3 linked regions of the Coturnix japonica genome follow. The protein of the gene in region 1 purifies or fractionates together with the protein of each later gene. This does not show direct contact. Links are inferred from orthologs where the notes say so. Each region holds a gene or a part of one and is shown in the gene's direction. Other genes may lie near its edges. The genes, in order: EED, PHF19 and AEBP2.

What was found.
Region 2: the proteins of EED (region 1) and PHF19 purify together in Homo sapiens (affinity purification with mass spectrometry; 8 studies listed by BioGRID and IntAct, counting the BioPlex papers as one, with this or other methods). This does not show direct contact. The link is inferred for Coturnix japonica from reciprocal best matches to the Homo sapiens genes EED and PHF19.
Region 3: the proteins of EED (region 1) and AEBP2 purify together in Homo sapiens (affinity purification with mass spectrometry; 6 studies listed by BioGRID and IntAct, counting the BioPlex papers as one, with this or other methods). This does not show direct contact. The link is inferred for Coturnix japonica from reciprocal best matches to the Homo sapiens genes EED and AEBP2.

Annotation. Positions count from the first base shown.
Region 1 is NC_029516.1:170,393,305-170,399,584, forward strand, and holds the start of EED (polycomb protein EED), read left to right. Parts: upstream 1-2,640; 5' UTR 2,641-2,664; coding exon 2,665-2,787; intron 2,788-6,280. UniProt on the Homo sapiens protein: Polycomb group (PcG) protein. Component of the PRC2/EED-EZH2 complex, which methylates 'Lys-9' and 'Lys-27' of histone H3, leading to transcriptional repression of the affected target gene.
Region 2 is NC_029532.1:6,771,709-6,775,749, reverse strand, and holds the start of PHF19 (PHD finger protein 19), read left to right. Parts: upstream 1-1,241; 5' UTR 1,242-1,353; intron 1,354-1,805; exon of another isoform or gene 1,806-1,924; intron 1,925-1,942; exon of another isoform or gene 1,943-2,637; 5' UTR 2,638-2,646; coding exon 2,647-2,793; intron 2,794-3,163; coding exon 3,164-3,245; intron 3,246-3,342; coding exon 3,343-3,438; intron 3,439-3,525; coding exon 3,526-3,626; intron 3,627-3,699; coding exon 3,700-3,848; intron 3,849-4,041.
Region 3 is NC_029516.1:59,162,879-59,169,090, forward strand, and holds the start of AEBP2 (zinc finger protein AEBP2), read left to right. Parts: upstream 1-2,507; 5' UTR 2,508-2,653; coding exon 2,654-3,282; intron 3,283-6,212. UniProt on the Homo sapiens protein: Acts as an accessory subunit for the core Polycomb repressive complex 2 (PRC2), which mediates histone H3K27 (H3K27me3) trimethylation on chromatin leading to transcriptional repression of the affected target gene.

The DNA of each region.
Region 1 (6,280 bases):
AACAAGAAAGGAATTAGCTGTGGTCCCTAACAACATCCTTCTCTCCAAATTGGAAAGATATGGATTTGATGGGTGGACTGTTCAATGGATGAGGAAGTGGTTAGGAGATTGTACCCAGAGAGTGGTGGTCAATGCCTCAATGCCCAGACAGAGATTGGTGACAAGGGATCCTCAGGGATCAGTAATGGGACCAAAGCTCTTAACATCTTCATCAATGACATCAACAATGGAATTGAGAGTACCCTCAACTATTTGCAGAAGATGCTGAGCTGAGTAGTGCAGTCAGAATACCTGAGGGACAGGATACCATTCAGGGAGACCTAGACAGGCTCAAGCAGTGGGCCCAGGAGAACATCATGAGATTCAACAAATCCAAGTGCAATGTCTGCACCTGGGTCATGGCAACCTCCACTATCAGCATAAACTGGGAGATGTAGGGACAGAGCACAGCCATGCCAATAAGCCCTTGGGGGTTCTGATGGATGGCAAGCTGGACATGAGCTAGCAATCTACCCTTACAGCCCAGAAAGCCAACTGTATCCTGGGCTGCATCAAAAGAAATGGGGCCAGTAGGATAAGGGAGATGATCCTGACCCTCTGCTCTGTGCCGGTGAGACCTCACCTGGAGTACTGTGTCCAGATGTGGAATCCTCAGTACAGGAGAGTCATGGAGCTGTTGTAGCGCATCCAGAGGAGGGGCACAAAAATGATCCAAGGGATAGAACACCTCTCCTATGAGGACAGGCTGAGAGAGCTGGGCAGTTCAGCCTGGAGAAAGAAGGCTCCAGGGAGATCTGAGAGTGGGCTTTCAGTATCTAAAGGGGGGCTTTTCTTGTCTTATGAACTTCATCAGAGCACAAACTGAAGCCAACCCTCTGAGCTTTCAAGCCAGTATTTAACCACAAACCAATTCTTTAAATAGAAGCTGGATGAAGTGTACTATGACTGTTGGAAACTCATCTTCCCTGGTGTACTGGCCCTTCATATCTTCTGAAATTGGAAAGGCAAGTGGTTTGGACTAAGAACTAGACAGAGGGAGCATGAGGTCTGTCATGTTGAGAAAGAAGTCCTCCAGAAAATCAAACAAGGGAAGGCAAAGACCAGTTTGGCCCAGCAAGTTGATGATGGAGACTGAAGGGTTTTGCTGACTGATTCTGGTGTGGGTGGGAAATCTTCCTGTGTGCAGGCCAAGAAGCACAGCCTGACTGGGGCCCTCACTTTCCTTGTGTTTGGGATGAGCTAGTGAAACGTGGAGGAGCTGAATGTGTAGCTGGCCATCTGGAGGATGTCAGGTGACAGCTGCAAAATGAAGGGGAGCTGTCTTCTCTCCATTAGCTCAAGGTCATCCGTGATGAGAAGTTAAGAACACTCACTGCTGAAAACTCCGTGCCCGCCCTTCATTTCTAAATCACAGTCGTGATTTAGTCTTAATTAAGATGCCAATCTAAAAATATCCCGTCATATTTTAAGAACAAGTCAGTTCATTCTCCGTGTATGTCCTCACAAAGGTGTAAAACGCTTTTATCACAGCCTTGATCTTAGTGCATGAATTTGGGCAGCTGCAAGTTCCCAGAGCTTTTATTAATTGTGATCTACAGCCTTTTGGTCTGTATTATACACTGCACCAGTGGAGCCTACAGGAGGGACTATTGCTAAAAACACTACAGTACACACACCAGCTTAAGCACCTCTCCTCCCCCTTATCTCTGAAGTTCATGCCAGATTAAATTGTAGATACAAAGGCAAGGTTCACTTCTGTCACTGCCCTCCAAGAAATCACTTTGCAAGGCTGGAATGCCTCCTCCAGGGAGGAAAGCTTTGGTTTTTCTTCTCTGAGAGAAGCAGATAAGGCACTGTGCCTGCGGGCAGATTACTTCCCCTATTTATCAGATATATATATATACATACATACATATATATATATATATGTTTATATATAGGTTTTGTTTTTGTTTTTATTTTTTTGTTTATTTTTTGGTTTATTTTTGTTTGTTTTTTGTTTGTTTTTCCACTGTTCGTTATTATTATGACTCTGGGACATGTGATTTTAGGAAAATAAATAAAGAAATAAATCATCATCTGGCAACTGCAGTATTTAATTTACAATCTGCAAGTGGTAGGAACTTGCCATGGGGCATTGAAACAGGCCATTTTTTCTTCTCTCCCAACAGCATTTTTTAGATGAAAGTACTTTTTTTTCCCCCTCATTCCAGCCCTGCCTGGGTGACAGGGCAGGGAACAGACACCTCATTTCTCTATAGAGCATTTTGGAGAGCAAAAGAACCAAAAACGACTTTGTGGATGAGGAACTTTGTGCTCCTCACAGGACACAGGAGCTGTGGTAACCAGAACCTCGGGCTACTTTATATGCCACGAACGTGCTCGAAAGTGCTGGTCCAGGCCACAGATAACGGTATAAAGTGTCATTATGCTTTATTATGTTCATACATTCGATTATAAATAATAATAATAATAAGAGTAATTAATAGTTGAGTTAATAGATGGGCGACACCGCCCGCGCGACGCGGGAAGGCGGATTTTTCAGCAGTGTGGCAGCTGAGGGGCAGCCAAGCGCGGTGCTGCTTTACGGCAAAGCATTGCGACGCCCCCCCTGCCGCGCTTTACGGCTGCGTGGCGGTGGGCGGTGGGCGGTGGGCGGGGAAGATGTCTGAGCGGGGAGAAACCCCGGCGGCGGCGGCTGCATCGACGGGAGAGATGCCGGCTAAGAAGCAAAAGCTGAGCAGCGATGAGAACAGCAACCCCGGGGATCTGTCTGGAGATGAGAACGTGAGGCTGAGTTGGGGTGTAAGCGGGAAGGTGGCGGTGGCGAGGCGGGAGCATGAGGCAGAGGGGCCGCGCTTTACCCCGCGTGCGTGAGGGAGAATTGGAGGCCCTGAGGTGTGAGCGGTTTTCAATGTCACTTTTTAAGTGGTTTTTATTGCGATGTAGCGAGCAAAAATCTGTATTTTAGGTATATCTGTCGTTTTTCATCGCTGCCTCGGTGTGGGGTGTTCATTAACACGTTGCTCGGTGTTAATTTGTGCACACAGAGTTTTGGGGAAATGAAGGAATAGGGGGGAATCACAACGTTGTAGGGGTTGGAAGGATCCTTTGGAAACCATCCAGTCCGACCCCTCTGCTAAAGCAGGTTCCATGCACTTGTGTGCTCATAAGTTGCTGTCAGCAGGAATTGGCTGTAAGGGATGAAGGCTGTTACCTCTCAACTGCACTAAATCAGAGTATTTAAACCAAAGGTCGTGAGATTGATTCCAAGTAACTTAACAGCTGAAAAGATCAACTGATTTGGGTCTGTACTGAGTCTGGTCTTGTTCAACATCTTCATCAGCGACCTTGATGAGGGGATAGTGACCACCCTCAGCAAGTTTGCTGATGACACGAAGTTGGGAGGATTGGCTGACACGCCTGAAGGCTGTGCTGCCATTCAGCGAGACCTGGACAGGCTGGAGAGCTGGGCAGTAAGAAACCGGATGAGGTTTAACAAAAGTAAGTGTAGAGTCTAGCACTTGGGTAGAAATAATTGCATGCACCAGTACAGGCTGGGGGAAGACCTGCTGGAGAGGAGCTCTGCTGAGAGGGACCTGGGCGTCCTGGTGGACGACAGATTGAGCATGAGCCAACAGTGTGCCCTTGTAGCCAAAAAAGCCAATGGCATACTGGGGTGTATTAAAAAGAGCGTGTCCAGCAGGTCGAAGGAGGTGATCCTCTCCCTCTACTCTGCCCTGGTGAGGCCTCATCTGGAATATTATGTCCAGTTCTGGGCTCCCCAGTACAAAAAAGACAGGGAACTCTTGGAAAGAGTCCAGCGGAGGGCCACTAAGATGGTGAAGGGCCTGGAGCATCTCCCCTATGAGGAGAGACATAGGGAACTGGGTCTGTTTAGCCTTGAGAAACAAAGGCTGAGAGGGGATTTGATCCAGGTTTATAAATACCTGAGGTGTGGGAGCCATAGTGGTGAGTCTGGTCTCTTTTCAGCAGTGCGTGGGGATAGGACTAGGGGTAATGGTATGAAAGTACAGCATAGGAAGTTCCGCATGAATGTGCGCAAGAACTTCTTTACAGTGAGGGTGACGGAGCACTGGAACAGGCTGCCCAGGGAGGTGGTGGAGTCTCCTTCTCTGGAGATATTTAAGACGCGCCTGGATGCCTACCTGTGTGACATGGTGTAGGGAGCCTGCTTTGGCAGAGGGGTTGGACTCGATGATCTCTAGAGTTTCCTTCCAACCCCTACAATTCTGTGATTCTGTGTGATCGTCTGAGCAATCTGGTAGTCGGTTTATGCAGTTGGTGAACTGGGGGAGTTAATGACATAGGAGTTCTGCATGGTGTCTTTCTTGGTTAGAGCACTCAGTATGGGCGTTGGAGCACATTGCCCATAACCTGTGCAAGAGCAGCTGCTGTTGAGGTGCTGCGTGCCACTGCTGCTGGGCCTTATTCACTGAACATCACTGGACATGCAGGCCACACGTTTGTCATTCAGCTTCTGCAGAACATTAAGGTCATCGGAAGGGATAGAGAAGGAAGGAGGGGCTGTGTGGTAACTGTGTGTTAGGGATTGTTTCGGTGTTTGGCACAGGCTGCCCAAGGAGGTCATGGAGTCACTGTCCCTCAAGGTTTTCAAAAAGAGTAGATGCGGCACCGAAGGATGTGGTTAGTGGGCATGGTGGTGGTGGGTTGATAGTTGAACTAGATGATCTTAAATGATTTTTCTAACAGAATCACAGAATTATCAAGGTTGGAAAAGACCTAGAAGATCATCTAGTCCAACCATTACCAATACTTCCAGGCTAAATCATATTCCTCAGCACCACATCCAAGCGTTTCTTGAACACTCCCATGGTCGGTGACTCCACCACCTCCCTGGGCAGTGCATTCCAATGCCTGACTACTCTTTCTGAAAAGTAATACTTCCTAATGTCCAGCCTGATTCTCCCCTGACGCAGCTTAAAACCATTCCCTCTAGTTCTATCACCGATTACATGAGAGAAGAGGCCAACCCCCAGCTCACTGCAGCCTCCCTTCAGGAAGTTACAGAGAGCTATAAGGTCTCCCTTGAGCCTCCTCTTCTCCAGGCTGAACAATCCTTAATGATTTGTGAATCTGGGTGTGATGTGGTGACAGAGGCTCTCAGGTTTGCTTTGGTGTCTGTTATAGGCTGTCTCAAAGGTGGAAAGTCTCCTTCTAAAACTTTGTTATGAGCTTTGTTGCTCCTGAAAGGCCTGGATTCTCCTTAAAAGTGGACGTAACAGTGTTGATTTGCAAGAAGTCTCTTTTTTCATGGAATCATAGAGTAGTTAGGTAGGAAGGGCCCTCAAAATCATCTTGTTCCAACCCTTCTGCCATGGTCAGGGTTGCCAACCACTAAATCATGCTCTAGATCAGGCTGCCCAGAGCCCCATCCAGCCTCGCCTTGATCACCTCCAAGGATGGGGCATCCACAGCTTCTCTGGGCAGCAGTGCCAGCACCTCCCCAGGTACTCCACAGGTATCCTGAAGGCATGTTTGTTGGTCATGTTTTAGTTGTAGTTACGTGGTTGTATTTTGTTATACCAATATAATGTGTTCTTGTATTGACTGCATCTGATTAGTCCAGAGGAAGCTTCAGTTCTGTGAAGTATTATGACTCTTGACAGCAAGTGCTCTTAGGAGACCAGTGTTTGGCAGGCTCTGAAACTGCTTAGGGTAAAGGAAAAGAAATAGCTAAATGTAAAGATTGCAAAACCTGGTTATGCTTATTAGGGGGAAGTTAGCTTTGCTAGGATGCGGTATGAAGGAAATGACTGACCTTAGTCCATATTCCTAGCGGAGTTTGTGATGCAGCTTCCTGTTATACTTCATGTCTTGCAATGACAGGCTGTTTGTTGTCTGCCTCTGTCTCCCCAAATTTGGGTCTTGTCATCATGTGGCTGTGAAATGAGTTTGTTGGGAGAAAAAGTTAGTTAATTTAATAAGCTGAACGTTTTCCTGTGGGTTTACTCCCCATAGCCCTCCTAATAGTTTTGTGTCCTTATATTATGGTTCCCAAACCTGTCTTGCACTACTGGAGATGAGAATCAGTTAGAAAGAGTGGGAGGAAGGGGTGAAAGTTCCTCTTCCAGTGGCACTGCTGACTTATTGCAGAACTGTGCTATTCCTGATGCTGCTGAGGGCCTACAGAGGACTTCAAGAGAGGTTAGATTCCTGACATGGGTAAATATGTTTTTAAACAAACATTGTCTTGATTCATTAGTTCAGAAGTATTCATTCCGTGTATGTCAAAGAT
Region 2 (4,041 bases), on another chromosome or scaffold:
GGGTCAGCTCCGTGTTTGGGTTTCCATTCACTATTCCTTGCCTCTGATGATGAGCCAACTCACAACCCCTCCTCCCGATCCTGTTTGCAAAGGAAATAAAGTGTGGGGAAAAGCTCCTGCCAGAGCTCCATTGGAAGGACAGCGTGGGAGCCCTCAGCTCCCTGCTCCATGGGCACAGGCTGTGGGGAGAGGCCTTGGGGGCAGCGTGGGGCTGTGGGACAATGTGCTACAGAGGTTTTGTGCAAACCACTTTGCAGGGGCTGCATCAGAAATGCAATGACAGTGAAGGAACCCCGTGGTCAGCGCTGTTCAAACAAGCCCAGAGGGCACTGCCACTGTGGGGTGCTCCCATCAGTGACATTGTCCCCACTCATTAGCAGTGTTTGGGCATCACCCAGTGCCCGGCTGACCTCTCACATCACCCACACCTCCATGGCCAACGATCCGGGGGCTGCACTCACAACCACAATGGTTGAGGAGGAGCACGGAGAGCACTGCTGTCCCAGCACCACAACCTCATGCCCAGACCGGCTGCCTGTGAGCCAGAGCAGAGCTGCAAAGTGCAGCAGTGTTTGCCCACAAGCAAAGTTCTGGTTCAGGAGTTATTTTAATCCCGTGGTGACTCACGGCTGCACACGGTGACTCACCGCAGGGCTCCGCCGTGGGGCGCCTGGAAGATGTGTCAGGTTCTCTGTGCAGGATGGGGCTGCAGGCAGCAGGAAGGAGCTGTCAGGTTTTGGCTGCCTATGGGCTCTGCTAACATGGCCTGAACACGGGGAGCTGGGAGGAGGCACAGCACGGCTCAGCACGGCATGGCACGGCACAATATGGCACTGCACAGCACAGCGTGGTGCTGCATGGTCTCTGACCCCTACAACGGCAACCCAAGACTATTTGGACCATTCCTTTTGATTATTTGGATCTCTCAGGAAATCCCACGCAGGGTTTTGGGTGCTGTGCTGCACGTGCTGCATTTGCCGTTGTCACGGCTGCCGGAGCGCTCCCATCCAGGAGCTTTGAAATGCAATGAATCACCCCAAAATGCAATGAATCACCCCAAAATGCAATGAATCACCCCAAAATGCAATGAATCACCCTGAAACCCGCACTTTGCCCTCCCCGCTCCCCGCTCTCACTCCCCGCAGAGGCAGTCGGCGGCCCCACGTGTTTCTCGAGCCCGTGCAAAGCCGCCCGCAGCGCAGCGCGATGCCAGCGGTTCTGGGAGGCTCCGCTTTGCAAAAGGGAACGACGACGAAACTCGTCCGAAGAGCTCAGAGCCCCGCTGCTGCCTCCGAGAGGTGACTTCAACACCGATGCTCCTGGAGCGGCTCCACTCGCTCCGCTGCCCCGCAGGTGCGCGACGATCGTCGGTTGCGGGGAAGCGCTGAGCGGGGCGACGGGACGAGCAGGGAGCGCTGAGCTCCGACCCCGAGCAGGCCTGGAAACGGCTCTTTATTTTGGCAGCGCTCTTCGCAAATAACCAACCCCGTTTCCTCCTGCTCGGCGCCGCCCGCAGCGCTTCGTGCACCGACGGATTTGGGTGGTTGGTTGTTGGATTTGTTTTTTTTTTTCTCTTTGGATTCGGAGAAAAACGATCCCACGTTCCCGGAATCCCGGAGAGCGGCAGCACGGGCCGTTCCTTGGCGCGGGGCCGGGCGGCGTCTGGGGCATCCCGGGATGCTCCGTGCCGTTCCGAGCCGTTCCGAGCCGTTCCGTGCCGCTCCGCTCGGAGCTCCGGGAGGCGGCCCCGCTCTAATTGCATAAGCGGGACGTCAATGCCCGCGGGAAGAGCGGGAAGATGGCGCCCCGCGCCCTGCCCCCGCCGCGCTCCGCCGCGCCCCGCTGCTGCCCCGGCGGCCCCCGAGCGGGCGGGCGCTGAGCCGGCCCCGTTGTCGGCAGAGCGGCGGAGGAGCGGCACCGAGCGGTGAGCGCGGCTCGAGCGGCCGGGGGGCGGCGGGGCCGGGCGGGACGGAACGAGGACGGGACGGAGCGGCGCCGCAGCGCCTTTGAATGAACCAATGGCGGAGGGTCTCAGGGCTGCGGGGCCGCTCCCGCCCGGCAGGTGCCGCCGCTCCCGGTGTCGGTGTCGGTGAGGTCCCGGGGCGGCTCTGCGGGCTGCGGGTTCCCGGAGCGCTCCCCGCTGCGCTGCTCGTCACCTCCCGGCGCGGCGGCGCTGAGCTCCGTGCGGTGCCGCGCGGTTCTGCCCGGTGCGGTCGGTTCCGTCCGGTACGGCGCTGTCCCGGAGTTGGGCGGCGGCCCCGCGGGGCTCATCCCGGGCAGCGCGGCGGTACGAGCGGCGCTCGGATCGCTTCGACCCCGCACGGAGCCCCGAGGGGGGAAAGTGCCGTCGGGGCGGTGCTGTCAGCAGCCGGGGCTCCGTCCCGCGCTCGGAGCACGCAGCAGCGGCGAAACGCGGCCGCTCGGTTTCACCCGCTTCTGCCCGCGCCGCTCCCCGCTCCCCCAGCGCTCCCGATGGCAAAAACGCGGAAGGAAACGGACAACTCGACTTGGCGATCGATTTAAAGCTGCCGATGCCGAGAGCGTCCGGGCCAACCCCGTACCTACGGAGCGGGCGCCTCGCTCGGCCCGAGGGCGCATCGCGCTGCTGCTGATGGGCGACCGGCTCCGTCCCCGCAGGTTCTGCTGATGGAGAACGGGACGCTGAGCTCCATCACCCGGGACGTGCACGGAGCCGCCGGGCGCAGGGGCGGCAGCTGCAGGGAGCTGAGCGAGGGGCAGTACGTGCTGTGCCGCTGGACCGATGGGCTGTACTACCTGGGGAAGATCAAAAGGGTAAAGGGGGCATCCGGAAGGGTAAATGGGCATCCAAAAGGGTAAGAAGGAATCCAGATGGCTAAGGTGGGCATCTAGAAGGGTAAAGTTGGCACAAAGAAGGGTAAAGAGGGAATTCAGAAGGGTAAGAGGGCATCCAAAGTGCACCTGGTGCAGGTGCTGTTCCCTGGGTCAGCTCACAGCATGCTGGTCTGTGCCTTGAAGTGACTGTGGTCTTTGGAGTGATGGGGATTGATGTCTTAGCTGGGTATCCACCCTGAAACCCACCTTCCAGCAGCTCTGAGAGATGGGGAAAATGGCACCAGGGAAAGAGGAGAGTGCAGGCAGTAGGAGCAGTCATTCATTGGTTCTTTGTGCTGTGTCCCTGCAGGTGAGCGGCTCCAAGCAGAGCTGCCTGGTGACGTTTGAGGACAACTCCAAGTACTGGGTCCTCTGGAAGGACATCCAGCATGGTGAGTGCCAGCCCGTCGTGCCCTGCTTGCTGCTCCCTGGGAGCCCATGTGCCACGGGCAGCACTGTGGGGCCATCACTGCTTTCTCCATCCTCAAGCCGGCGTCCCTGGGGAGGAACCCAAGTGCAGCATTTGCCTGGGAAAGACATCAGGGCCCAGGAATGAAATCCTCATCTGTGGGAAGTGCGGCCTGGGTGAGTGCAGACACAGGGCTCCGTGTCCTGCTGCGTCCTGCTTGTGTCCAGCCAGCTCGGTGATGCTGACCCTGAGCTGTCCCATAGGTTACCATCAGCAGTGCCATGTCCCAGTGGCAAGTAGCAGTGAGGGCCCGCTGGGGACACCTTGGTTCTGCCGCCGCTGCATCTTTGCCCTGGCTGTGCGGGTGAGTGGGGCTGTGGGGTGCTGCGATATGGGCTGTGGTCTCAGTGCTGACCCTGTCCGGCTGGCTCCCACAGAAGGGGGGTGCCCTGAAGAAGGGAGCTATTGCCAGGACACTTCAAGCCGTCAAGATGGTGCTGTCCTACAACCCCGACCTGCTGGAGTGGGACTCTCCGCACCGCACCAACCAACAGCAGTGCTACTGCTACTGCGGGGGTCCTGGCGAGTAAGCAGTGCCTTGCTGAGGGGCTGTTCTGTCCTGTTTTATGGGTGATTTTCTTCCAAGAGAGAGTCTCTGCTTGCAGGGTCATTCTCTGGGGCTGGTGGCTCTGCTGCCTGCTCTGTCCTGCACTGTCTGCATGCAGCTCCTTGCCAAGGAGGGCTCATTCCTGGCTGGGGCGGCTCACACTGCCCTCCCT
Region 3 (6,212 bases), about 110 Mb from region 1:
ACTGTGACCTAGAAATGTCAGTAACAAGAGAGCTAAGTCATCACTGCTACTTCTGCTTGATTCGGACTTTATCTCATCACTTTAGGGAGCTGACGGACCAAGCCTTCATGCAGGATTTTGTGGTTTCAAAGAACTGAAAGTAGGGCACTAAAGATCGTCAAAGTATTTCTTTGATGACTGCTGCAGTTCTCACCGCTGCGGCACTGATCTCCCGCTTTAAACGCTAAGTGATTGCCATTAGGCGGGGTCGTACCCTCTCTTCCTATGCACCCTATCCTAAGGTTTCACTCCCTCTCTCCGAATACACAAATTACCCAACGAGCCGGCGTCCCTACTGCTGTACTTAGGGAAGTGAGAAGTGTCTGCATCCCCGTCACCTCTCGGCGGACAGACACTGGGAACCCGGTGAGCGCACATGACCTCAAAGAACCCGAGAGTTCCGAAGAAAGCACAGAGCTACGGGCTTGTGAACACGGTGGGATGAATTCGGACAACACACACTGGGGAGCACGGAGTTCTTTGAGATACGTTTCCTCCTGCCTTTCTTTGCTCGTTCTCAGGTTGTGAAAGGTGCCTTTCACTTCGATCCGTTTAGATCTTTGTTTTCTAGTGATTCGGTCCCTTTCTGATTCTGCCCCTCGCTACAACCGATTTCAGTAAACTCCAGAGGGAAATCAGTTGCAGAAGAGGCAGCACAGCGATTTGCTTCAGATACTGCTGCCTTCTTTCTGAATCGAAAGGTTGTTTTTGTGTGTTTTTTTTTATACCTCGCTCTTCGTGCCTGATGAGATTAGTGACAGTAACACCCACGGGAGTGCCACACCTTTATAGGCTGAGAGGGAAGTACAGAGCACGCCGTTCCTTCGGGGGGGCTGGGGGAAGGGAGGAGGCAGAGGATGTAGAAGCTCAGGGTTCGATGATTGTTTCGATGGAGTCAGTAGAGCAGCGATGCTTACACTATGCGGATGAAGCAGCTTTACAGCCGTCCTCGTGTGTTTTACAGTATTCCTGCCATTTCTAGTGTGTAGCTGAGGCTTGTTTTGAGAAATCTGGAAAGCTATCGAGCATTTTTACTGCTGTTTGCCTCACAGATCGGCTTATGCTCCTCTGCAGGTTAAAGATGTCATTTGTTTGCTCTCAAAGACGAGTGCAACGTCACATCCCTTTGCTCCAAGGCTGCGGTGCTCCCGCAGCACTGTGGCATTCTGTGCTGGCATCGCTCACTGCAGGCTGCTGGTGTTGCTGCGAACAGATACATGCGTGCAGATTGATGGGCGGGCAGCCAGCCCTGCTTGTGCTGATGTAGGGCTCAGGAGCACCCTCCCCAGATTTTAATCCTCTGTGGCTAACTTTTCCTGTTCCTCTGTGGCAACGCTAGATGAGCCTGCTATGACTTGAGGAGGTGGTAGTCTTCCTGTTGCACAGAGAACAAAGTCTTTCTGGACTGAGCTGTGGTTTAGTTTTGTCATCCGCTCATAAGCCAAACCATCCCCAGTTCACGATTTTTTTCTTATTAAATTTGGCAAGTTCAGTAAAAAATTTCATCTCCATGTCTGGGAGGTGGAACTACATGATCCTTGAGGTCCCTTCCAACCCGGGTCATTCTGTGATTCTATGAGGTGGGTACTTCCCTGTTCTATGGAAAATCCCCATCCCACACGGATTGCTGATCATTTCCATGTGACAGTTCACTGAAGGTATTCTCCATGTCCGTACAGACAAGGCAAAATAAAGCACGATCTGCCTCGAGTAAACTTCATCCCCTTTTCTTCCAATATTAAAATGACTTTAATTGTCATTATTAATTTAATAGTTTTTTCTGAAGTCTCGTATGTGATTGGTGGTCGTTCTGCTCATCTTTCTCTCTTCCCCATCTATTCTTCTTCAGATGGCAACGTTCCCAACTCAGCCAATTTAGCAGCCCTCATTCCTCCAAACCCTGGCCTGAGTTTATGAGGAAAATATTAACCAACTGCCTCGGTTTTAGCACATTTAACTCAGGTTTTACTTCCACTTCGGGCAGTGACGTGCGTTTTGCATTCAGCCTTGGCCACGCCACAGCCTGGAAGCTTCTTACAGCCAACGGAGGTGTGAGGCCACACTTCAGACGCTCTCCTGATGCCAGTGCCACTGAAAACCTCCTTCTGTCCCATTGTGTCCCAGCCCAGCTCTCTCTTTTAGCGATTCACACAGGGCACACTCACACTCTGACCCACTCCTTGTGGAGGGGCCTCTCTCCCTTCCCCTGAGGAGACACGCCGTTCCTCCCATCTTGGCTCAGCGTTTCTCTTCACCCCTGATCCCGCTGCCGCCCCGTGACCGCGAGTGTCGCCTCAGAGGCGGTTCGGCGTTAACGGCCGCCTCGCACCCCCCGATCCCCGGTTCCCGGTTCCTCGTCCCGCGCTCCGCCTCGCGGAAGCTTTTTGTCCCCGGGCTCGTTCCGTAGCGCGTGCGGCGGTGGCGGTTCGTGCCCCTCCTCTTTGCGGCTCGCGCCGCCGCGCGATTGTGCGGCTGAGCGGGGCGAGGGCGGGGGGAGCGCGGCCGCGCGCACACACGAACCGGGGCACGCGCCTACCGGCCGCGCGCACGGCCCGGCTCGGCTCGATTCGGCCCCGTTCGGCTTCGGCTCGGCTCGCAGCGACTCGCAGGCGCCATGGCGGCCGCTCGCAGCGACATGGCGGAGCCGGAGGGGCTGCTTCCCGGCGAGGCGGCGGCCGCTGCGGCTGAGGAAGAGGAGGAGGCGGCGGCCGTTGCTGCGGTCGTCGCCGGGGTCGGCTCCTCGTCGTCGCCTCCGTCCTCGGCGGCGGAGACGGAGTCGCTGCTGCTGCTGAACGGCGAGGCGGAGAGCATGTCGGAGCCCAGCCCGGAGAGCGCCAGCCAGGCCGGGGACGGGGAGGACGAAGACGAGGAGGAGGAGGAGGAAGAGGAGGAGGAGGGCGGCGAGGAGGAGGAGAGCAGCCTGGTGGGCAGCAGCAGCACGAGCAGCGGCTGCTGCAGCGACGAGACCCGCTCGCTCAGCCCCGGCGGCAGCAGCGAGGCCGACGCCAAGGAGGAGCCCAAGGGCCCGCGGGGCGGCCAGGAGGGCGGGCTGGGCCGCGGCGGCGGCGGCGGCGGGAGCAGCTCCAGCAGCGTGTCCAGCGGCGGCGACGAGGGCTACGGCACCGGCGGCGGCGGCGGCAGCAGCGGCAGCAGCAGCTGCAGCGCCACGTCGGGGGGGCGGCGGGGCAGCCTGGAGATGTCCTCGGACGGGGAACCGCTGAGCCGCATGGACTCAGAGGACAGGTCAGTGCCCGGTGCGGGAGGCCCGCGGGCGCCATGTCCTGGGGCCTCGCCCCGCCCGAGGGCCGCGGGGCTGTCAGGCCGGCGGATGGGGGGCTGCGTGCTCCGGGCGGGGGCGGTCGGCCGCGCCGCGCCCTGGGGCCGCTCCGGTTCCGGAGGGATGCCGCTGCGATACCGTAGTCGTACCGCGCCTGCTGTGCCGTGGTCGCTCCGTACCTGCGGGTGTACGTGCTGCGGGCGGCGAGCTGAGGAAACCGCCGAACACAAGGGAAAAATCCCACCTTGCTGAAAGGAGCGAGGGAACGGCCCTTCGCCCGGGCTGAGCTGTGTTGTGGATGAAGCCGAGCCCAGCCGTGTGAGACTTAGTCATTTTTGGATGAATGGTTTAATGCCAAATGTGGATGATTTCTGTAGTTGCCGGCTTGAGGCTCGAGGGACGGCACAGCCCAGTTCCCAGGTCGCGTTTAGCACAGAGGTTGGGCACTTCTAGGAGCACGGCTTGCCTAGTGGTTTTCTTGGGGGTATGTAATACAGCCTAATGGAAAATAGGATGTGGGGGGAAAAAAGAGTGGAATTTGTCGGTTCTTTTACTGCTAAGTGCTTCAGAATAGTTTTAGAAACTTCTTTTATTCTTTGCCTTTTTAGGTTTGGCTTTAAGAAAGCCTTGGGCTTTGCGGTAGTTGGTACAAAAATAATAATTGTTCCTTTTTTGAAGATAGTTTTGCTATTGAGCGTAAAGATGATCAGTTTTGGTCCAGGTTACATGCTTTGTTGATGTGTTAGGTTAAATTTGAGTAGATGGGGAAACGCCCGTGTTGCAGGAGCGTGGCATTTCTAGGTCCAGCCTCACGTGTTAAATGAAACCCTCGTGAGTCAGTTCCCCAAACCATGTGCTGGGTCTGAAAGTCTTAGGAAAAATTAAAAACGAATTTTAAATCCATGCTTTTCATTTCCTCCTGACTTCTGAGTCTTGAGGACTTGGGGGATTTTTTTCGTTCCTTCAGACTTGCTGTGAAATAAGAAGGTGGCGAGTTTTTCTTTCTTTTTCTTTCTTTCTCTCTGTTTTCACGTGGATTTTTACATGAAATCACATAAGTGTGGGAGTAGATTTCTGGGGAAACAACAGGTATGTGGTGGAGGTTTAGGGTCGTCACTTCTTGTTTTCTACCAAATGAAACTCTGCACTGCAGCTTGATCTCTTGTGAGTCTGTCTCAATTTGTAGGTTAAGGAAATAACAGGAATCAGTTACAGGGGTTTTCTGACAGTGCAGCCCCGTTACGTCTTGCTCACACACTTCAGAGCTGCTGTACTAGTTTCTTTCTCTGTCATTGTTTGCAGGCTCCTCTTGTTATAGTGGCACAAATCAAATCTGTGTGTGCTCTTCGTTGCTCCTTTCCAGTACCTTTGGAGCAGAGTCAGTTGCAGGAGCCTTTTGTGTTCAGTAGTTTTAAATTAGGACTGTGTTTTTGGTTTTTATCTTGCAAAGGTTTTGTCTTCAGTGGCCACGCTGAAAACGTAGAGATACTGAGAAGCAATTTTGTATGGTAATTTCATAGCCTGCTGCTTGAGTTGAGTAGGAAAAGAACCACGCCACGCAAAGTGCCATTTGTTATTTCTGGTGATAGAAAAGCTCATTTTGATGACATTCCTTGCTGCCTTGGGGTAGACAGCAAAAACAGTGATGCTACACGTAGTCCAACAGGTCCCTTGGCCTATCAGTGGAAATTATTGCTGCCCCTTAGAAGCCAGCTGGAACATGATGTGCGTCCTTAGGGTGATCAGCTGGGCAGGCAGTTGCCAGTGGTAGGGGAGGCATGGAAAAGCCTCAAGAGTGTTCACAATGGGATGGTAGAGTACCTGGGAGAACCTGGGAGCAGGTCAGATTTACACGATGTAACTATGACAGATTGATATCTGCTCAGCGATGTTCTCTGTAAAACAGTATCTTGTACAGCACTCTGATGTCTACTTTCTGCCTGTGTCCTGAATGGAGACTCCAGTTTTGTCACCGAAGACCTAAGGAAGTTGACATCGACTTGTCTTGTGGACTGTTGTGTGGTAAAATGACCTCTGAGTGAAGAAATGATCTGCTGTGCTTCAGTTCTTATTCTTTGGTTAAACAAGAGGAAGGTGTTAAAAAGGTGAACTCCGTAACGATTCTCCTGTTGTAGGCAGGTTTGCTAACATTCAGATTATGCCCTGAGGCTTGGGATTTTTTTCTTGTTTCCTCTTTAGCAAATTTGAATAAATAAGAGGGTGTGGTGAAGGCCTGGAATTCCTTAAGTGATCGAATTCCTCTTTTGCTACGATCTTTATCATCGTTGTCTGATTTCAATGTATTGTCTGTCTCGTTTTGGTTTAGCGTTGCGAACTGCGATGTAAACTGCAGATGTGACATTTGAGCATGAGAATCTTGCATGCAATCAAGACATGACTACTGTTCAGCTACTTCTAATACTAATGCTTTGATTCTGTTTTGAGAGATCTGCTAATCAAAGAGAATAAATAATTTGGAGCGTGACAGTAGGAAATCCGTAGGTATTTGAAACAAAACCAAAAATAAATCTGATGTTGAATATTGATGCCTAAAACTTGAGCTGAATTTTGGTCAGCTGTTTTTAAATGCAAGTTCACTTGGTACTGCATTTCCAACAGGTCACATTCCTCTCCACACCTTCCCCCCCACCCCAAAATAAAATGACCCAAGAACAGAAACAAAAAAAGCCAACCCCACACCGGTATTTAGAACAGCCAGGTGGCGTTTTCTGCTCAGTGGTATTAGTAATGAGAGCTCAGTGCAAAGTCTGGAATGACTGCAGATACCCATTGCATTTTATTCCAGGGATTGGAGCTGTGTTCCCACTGCTGTGCTAAAGCTTGCCCACTGCTTTTGAGTGAGCTCATATCTCACTGATAAGAATCTGCATTCAGG